Linked DNA regions of Ovis aries. The protein of the gene in region 2 interacts with the protein of the main gene of each other region in a pairwise test. Links are inferred from orthologs where the notes say so. Each region holds a gene or a part of one and is shown on either strand. Other genes may lie near its edges.

What was found.
Region 1: the proteins of MIA2 (region 2) and TTC23L interact in binary tests that used the Homo sapiens proteins (3 or more experiments, as listed by UniProt). The two-hybrid records come from large-scale screens. The link is inferred for Ovis aries from reciprocal best matches to the Homo sapiens genes MIA2 and TTC23L.

What each region holds. Positions count from the first base shown.
Region 1 is NC_056069.1:39,454,172-39,457,995, forward strand, and holds part of TTC23L (tetratricopeptide repeat protein 23-like), read right to left. Parts: intron 3,577-3,824; coding exon 3,451-3,576; intron 1,106-3,450; coding exon 928-1,105; intron 1-927.
Region 2 is NC_056071.1:46,989,796-46,993,619, reverse strand, and holds part of MIA2 (melanoma inhibitory activity protein 2), read right to left. Parts: intron 3,589-3,824; coding exon 3,450-3,588; intron 2,807-3,449; coding exon 2,705-2,806; intron 1,698-2,704; coding exon 1,637-1,697; intron 1,100-1,636; coding exon 1,064-1,099; intron 1-1,063. UniProt on the Homo sapiens protein: Plays a role in the transport of cargos that are too large to fit into COPII-coated vesicles and require specific mechanisms to be incorporated into membrane-bound carriers and exported from the endoplasmic reticulum.

The DNA.
Region 1 (3,824 bases), on a different chromosome or scaffold from region 2:
CTCAAGCGCACATGGTAAAAGCATTCCATACATTTGAACTATTATTTTTGTTGTGGTTGGGAAACCCTGATTATATACTGTTTTATTCATTCTAAACTGGACTGCTGCTTTAAGGGAGTCTCAGACACACTGGCCAGGCTTTCTCCGTAAGTAGTGGACTCCCTGCCTTCCGGGCAGCATTCCCAAACACCTCTCCATTGTGATGTCAATAACCTGGGATTTCTGGATTGCAGGCAAATGCCTTTTCTTCAGTAGCAGACTGCTGTCACATGCACTGTTCCAGGGCAGTGCACTTTTTCTTGCAAAATAGGAAATCCAGTACTATGATCTGATCTCAGTCATGGGAGATACCTGAAGCTGTGGGCACGGTTCCCCGTTGAGGATAGAAAAGGTGAATTTAACCAGCAGTTTCAAAGAAAGTTTTAAGTACCTGATACATAAAGTGCCCTACACTGTTTAAATTATGATAGACTCAACATTATGTTTCGTTTTCCCCTCACCATCTGTCAAATTAGTTACCTCCAAGCAAAACACCATCTTGGTGGTTTAACCTTAGATTGGAAATTCAACCAGCTGGACTAGTTTATAGGACAAATGAGAGCATTACACCAAAATATCACAAATTTTCATTTTAGAAGCCTTTGCATTTGTTAAAGACGTCAACTCAGTTGCCCCTCTGGCTATTTCCCTCAGCTGCCTCTTCCTGGCACAGACAGAGGTGAGGGAAGCCAGGAGGGGAAATGCTGTGTTAGATCAGGTCACACAGCAGACAGGCCCGCCGTGAGCCTGTGTTCCCTGCCCAGAGCTTGAGGAAGGTCTCTTGTGTGGATCTGGAGGAAAATCGATCCCATCCCGTTTCTCCCTTCTGAGAACCAGGCCTGCGGCCAAACAAAGCCTCCTGGCCTGGACTTCAGCCAACCCACCTACCTGGTGCAAGTACTGGATGGCTTGCTCGTGGTTCCTCCTCAGCTGCTCGATCTGAGCAATTTCCTGGTAAAGACTGACCAGATCTGACGTATTGTCACCCTTATTGGCAATAACATTGTCAACTGCCTTTTCAAAGTATACCAGCGCAAGGTTTAACCTGCAGTTGGCCAAGGAGGCTCTGGAAGAAAAGGGACAAGGGTGGAAAGTCAGAGAGAGGTGACTTGCTCTGCAGACACAGAAGGAACTTTCTAAGAACCAAACAATTTGGCCTTCACAGGCTGATCATCTGTGTGGGTGGCTCAAAGTCCAGCCTTGCCGTAAGCACACTCCTATTAACCAGCATTTTACCCACCAGATTTCACTGACTACCATTTCATCAAACCCATTAATATATCACATTAGGCTAATTTTATAAAAAAGCATATGGAAAAAATGGTGTCCAGCAGTTCATAAGATGGGATAATTTACCCCATAACAAAGACTTTCTAAAATCAAAATAAAATTTTATTACATCTGATTCCTTCTCTTTTAGGCTAAAGCAGGGGTTTTCCTTTGTTTTGTTTGATCTAGTTTAATTTATTCTTCCTCAGTTAAAAATAAGACAGGATAGGGAAAACAATGTACGTATTTCCCCACCAAAAGAGGGATGATTAAATAAATCATGGCACATCACACAATAAAATACTTCAGACATGAAAAACTTTAAATGTGCTAAGTTGAAAAAAGTTAGAAAACTGTACTTAAAAATATGATCCTGACGTGCATACACGTAAAGCACTTAGAACAGTGTCGAGAATGTAGTTATACTTTTGTAAACATTCCAACACTTAGAAGAGTGCAGGCACAAAACAGGTCAACTGTGTGGAGTGGATGAATGAAATGTACAAAGTTATTCTGAAAGAGGAACAAGGCTATCTTTCACATAAGCACAAAAATCTAAGTCACTGCCCCGTGTGTCAGCAGGAGACAGTCACTGGACTCTCACGTATGGGCCTGAGGACTTAAGAATTGTTTCTGACTCAACTCTGGACATGCCAACATCTCCCCGCCATTTCCCATTTGACAACTAGATTCATAGCTGTTTAGAGGAGGCAAGTATGACTCATGTAGTTCACTTACTTTACCATTCCATCCTCTACCCTACCATGCCAAGTGCTTACAGTTCTGGAAATGGATTGTTTTCAAGGATGTGAAGATATTTGAAAAATCTAGGCAACAGTAAACTTTTTATTATTCTTTTTTTTCCTCTGATACTCTGATGGGTCCATTCTCATATCTAAATATTCTTATTCTCAGAGGATTCCTAACTGTAAAATAGTTAAAAGTCTCATTCTGGCTTGAACAAATTCCATGAACTTTGTTTCCTTATGGAATACAACTTTCCTTAAAAAATGCATGTGCTATGAATAACTCAAGGACCTTCAATATATTGTTCTCATTAAGTGTTTCTTCTTTATCATTTAAGTTGTCATATTTAATGACAAACTGAAAGTGAAAGTCACTCAGTTGTGTCCGACTCTTTGTGACCCCATGAACTATACAGTCCATGGAATTCTCCAGGCCAGAATATTGGAGTGGGTAGCCATTCCCTTCTCCAGGGGATCTTCCCAACCCAGGGACTGAACCCAGGTCTCTTGCATTGCAGGCAGACTCTTTACCAGCTGAGCCACAAGGGAAGCCCAAAAATACTGGAGTGGGTAGCCTATCCCTTCTCCAGGGGAGCTTCCCAACCCAGAAATCCCAGAAATCGAACCAGGGTCTCCTGCATTGCAGATGGATTCTTTACCAACTGAACTATGAGGGAAGACCACTTAATGACAAAAGTAGGTGGCAATTCAGAAAAAAAAAAAAAGTAATTTTAGAGTAAGTAGGTGAGGCAGCACAAGGAAGGGCTAAGAGTCTGTACGTTCAGACCAAGTTCCAATCCAATACTTAAAGCTTATCTCCTTGGATGGTTTCTTTATCTTCAGCTCAGTCTCTCTGCCCTCTTTCTAATGAGATAAGTAATTGCACCAGCTATCTCAGGGGTGGCTATGAGGATTAAATGGGAAAGAGCACAGAAAACTTAGAACATGGTATATGCATTTGGGAAACATGAGCCTCTTTTACTATTATTTGAGTCTGGTTCTTTTGCTCTAAATATTTTTCTCCCCTTATATACCAAGTACAGGACAATCATGTAATTGCGAGCTTTAGTCATAAAAATGAATATCCATTGGAAGGACTGATGCTGAAGCTAAAGCTCCATTACTTTGGCTGCCTAATGTGAAGATCTGACTCACTGGAAAAGACCCTGATGCTGGGAAAGACTGAAGGCAGGAGGAGAAGGGGATGACAGAGGATGAGACGGTTGGATGGCATCCCCGATTTGATGGACATGAATTTGAGCAAACTCCAGGAGATAGTGAAGGAGAGAAGCCTGGTGTGTTGCAGTCCATGGGGTTGCAAAGAGTCGGACAAGGCTTAGTGACTGCACAAAAACAAAGTCATAAAAATCCAAGCTTCTCTAAGCCCAGATCTCACCTGCCCAAAGCGATTGTTAAATCTTTCTCTGAGACCTGTAATCCACAAGTGCCTCCCTTATACAATTCTCTCAGCTCCTTCATGTTTCTCTCTGACTTCTGCAGGTTGAAATATGCCTCTCTGCCAGTGAAACAGTCAAGGAAAGTGCCAGGTACACAAACGCCCCCACTGACCAGGGCAGAGTTGGTGAGCAAACAAAAGGGGCCCTTGGGAAAATGAAACAGTATCTGGGAACACACACTTCACTCTATTTTTCATCTGTACGTGTTGTCAAGAAGGGAGGATTCTTCAGAAAAGGAACGGGGCCCTGGGTGTCTTGTGGTGTTGCAGGAGTCCAGGGCTAAGCACTGGGAGTGAACGGAAACCGTGAATTA
Region 2 (3,824 bases):
TCATTTCCAAGACCAGCGTATTATTTCAATAACAAATCTTCACTTGAACCCTCATTTCAGAAGCATATAAAAGCTCAAAATTGGGAAGGATCCTGATATTCAACTTATCTAATTTCTTACTCTAAGCTGAAATCTCCATTCCAAGAAATATCCATGCCTAAAAATAAAAATATCTTCCAAGCTTCAGTACAACAGTGATAATTTAACAGTTAACATTTACTGAATGCCTACTATACGTCAGGTACTTGACTATCAGAATCATCTTATTTAATGTCATCACAATAACTCTGAAATAGATACTAATAATATCTGTCTTTAGGTAAGGAACAGGTGGTAGGTGATAGAACCAGGATATCAACCAAAACAAGCTGACTCCGGACCCCATATTCACCTACTGTGCAAATCGCTTCCCCTTGAAGACTTTGAGGGGCAAGTCTTTCAAAGGCCAGCTGTTAACAACAGTTCTTCATGTTAGAGAGACCACCCTGATCATTACTCAAAATCTATATAGTTATCACTTCCTCATACAGTTCCTCCACAGCAATGACATGTCATTTCTCATGATGGTCTTTTTCTTACTGTGTAACAAGTAATTAAAAATCAGAAAATCAGATACCCAAATTATATTAATATAATTTTTAGAACTAGGATGGGCTTTAGATTATTACTTCAGCTAGTCCCATTGTTTTACAGATGAGTAAACAAGCCTAGAGAATTTTAAAAATTTGTCCACAAGTAATTAGCTGGCAATACACTGCCTGAAAGAAGTCCATGAACATTGCCTCACCTCCCCCAGAGTATAAGCCCCAAAGAGTAAAGCTCCTTGCAAAGAAGTAATATGCTAAAAGCAGAGAAGGAAAAATCAGATTTTGTGAATAACTGTGTCATAACAAAGTATTTAGTTCATAAGGGATGTAATTCCACTACTGGTGAAATTAAAAGAAACTGATTTTTTTAAATACTACCTTTTTTTCTCAGTTATAAAAGTGTACCCTTACACTGCGCATCTAAATTAGGAAAAAAAACAATTTGACAAAAAAGCCTAAGAAAATTTAATACTTACCCAATTATCATGTGCTTTTTTCTCGTGAGAAATAACCTGAAAAAGAAAAGTCATTAAAATACTACTAATAACTATTTTTTTCTGTAAAAAACATTCACACCTACCACTATGATTTAATGTAAAACTCACAAACTCAGAAATAACTCAATCATCTCTAAAATGTCAGCAAGTATTATTTTAAAGCAAATTTTCATATACATATGATCTACTCTATTATAGTTCTAAAAGAAAAACAATGTAAAGACAACTGAAATTTTTGTCTGGTACATTTCTGTTTTACACAATAATCAATTACAATAGGAGGTACCAATTAAGAGACAACTAGCCAGACTGGTTATATATATATAGGACCCTAATGCTGCCATATGTTTATTTCTTTATGCAACTCAAATTCCCAAATCAGCAGTAGTTCACATAGCAACTTTAAACAATGTCTCTTGGCCCAGAATCTTTGCTCCCTAGAAATGTTCCGCCACACGTGCAAAACCTCAAGAGACTAACTACATTCCTGCATCAAAACAGGTATGAATTCAAACAAATCACCACCATTTTAAGTTATACACACACACGTACCTGTCCTTTATAAGAATGAACAGTTCTCTCCAACTCTTCCTCTAGATCTTTGGCTCGCTTTCTATAAAGAATAAGCAATTATTCTACTTAACATAAACTAAGAAATGACAAAACACACTATGTCTACTGAAAATATTAATTAATTTAATACCTAGACTGCTTTGTTTCATGGAACGCTAGAACTCCACATGTTCATCACCTTTGGTGGTGCTGATTTAGTTGCAAGGTTCTAAAGCATATTTTTTTCCTGATATAATTTAAACATTAGGTAAGCTTTAGGAATACTACTACTTGAGTTTACCTAAGATTTAGATGGAATACTGGCTCATTTTCATTTTTAAGAAGCATACTGGGAGATGTATTCAGATGTCTATAGTCTTAATAGAACTCTAGGAAATTAAAGATCTGTGAGAAAGAAAATGCTATTACCTTTATAAGACTAAAAAGACTTAAAGTTCATAAAACTATAAAAAGACCTTATAAGACTAAAAACTTCTTTTGGATAAAATTCAAGCTTGCTCTTCCTAATGCAAAATGAAGTATCACAACTATTTGGAGTACTGCTGAATCTTATCACTTATTTTCTCTAGGTTTTTATTATTTCTATTATTTTAGGATCGACTATTTCAGTAAGGATTGAGCTAAGGTAAAAACTAGATTTATGGTCTTATAAACACTTCTTCATAACTTTAATTAAGGCTTATTCTTCTTTTTGCAGCATACTTCTCAAATTGATTAATATTATATACATTCTTCCCCATGTGAACCAAAGAGGAAAGACCTTAAAATTAGTCACATTCATAAAGTTCTTAACTTTAACATAATATAGGATTGCCCATATTCAAATCCAACTAATCTAAGAGATTTTGAATTACATAGAGTAAAAGAAAAACTTTTTTTTTCCTTTTTATATTTTCTGTATAATCACATAAGAGCAAGACATCTAAAGGAAAAATAATTAAATTAAGGGCATTTTTTTTTAATTGCTCTATTATTTTTTTCTGCTTTTGGGCTTTTGTATGGATGCCCTTCCTACCTCAAAAAGAAAGGGGTGAAATATATTCATACCTATAGGTCTCCAGCTCTTCAGCTGCATGGTTGATCTTTTCATCAGCTTTGGAAAGTTTCTCCTCTTTCTCTAATCGGTAATTTTCCTCCATTGTCAATTTCCTTAAAACAAAAAGTGTTTTATTTCTGTTATTGTATGTCATAAAATAATCAAAGGTATATTTTTAATTATATCACAACTGGTGATTTATTCTACTGCTTCCCATAAAGCAACCTGCAAATATCAATAAAGACATCACATGTAAGAAAAAAACAAATGTACCTGAGTGTGGAATTTAATATTATAGACTCAAATTGTAAAGCACCTTATCCAATACAGTACTACTAATACAGAAGCTTTAAGAGTTCACCATTATCATTTATATTTTTATCACTGAAGAAAAAATGTTTCAAAATCAAATAACTGTCTTAAAATAAACTGATGAAATGCAACCCAATCATAAATTAAGAACTTTGAATAACCACATAGTGAAAGTGAAAGTTGCTCAGTCGTGTCCAACTCTGTGACCCCATGGACTATACAGTTCGTGGAATTCTCTAGGCCAAAATACTGGAGTGGGTAGCCTTTCCCTTCTCCAGGGGATCTTCCCAACCCAGGGATCAAACCCAAGTCTCCCACATTGCAGGTGGATTCTTTACCAGCTGAGCCACAAGGGGAAGCCTAAATAATCACATAAGCTGAATGCAAAACATTTTTAAGCTTTTTTATTTGCCACTCAATGGAGTGACCAACATAATTTATTACCTGTGAAGTATCATCTCATTTTCTTGATATAGTTCAGTCATTACTTTAAGTTTCTGCTGAAGTTTTTGAGTTTCACTTTCGAACTGTGTATTTTCTGACTGTAAAGACGCTTGTTCAGTCTGGAGATTTTTAATACACTCTACAGAAAAATTTTTTAAATCACAATTAAGGGAGCAAATATTTTGAGATATACATTAATATTTTATAAAAATAAAAATTACAAAAACTAATTATTAATAAACTAAATTCTTTCCAACAGAAAATGGATATTTTGTTCACTTTAACATGTTAAGAACTATATAAATTATTATAACTTTTTTTATTATTTAAGGATTTCCTAAAAAAAAATTCTAAAACCTTGAGTACTCTTTAATT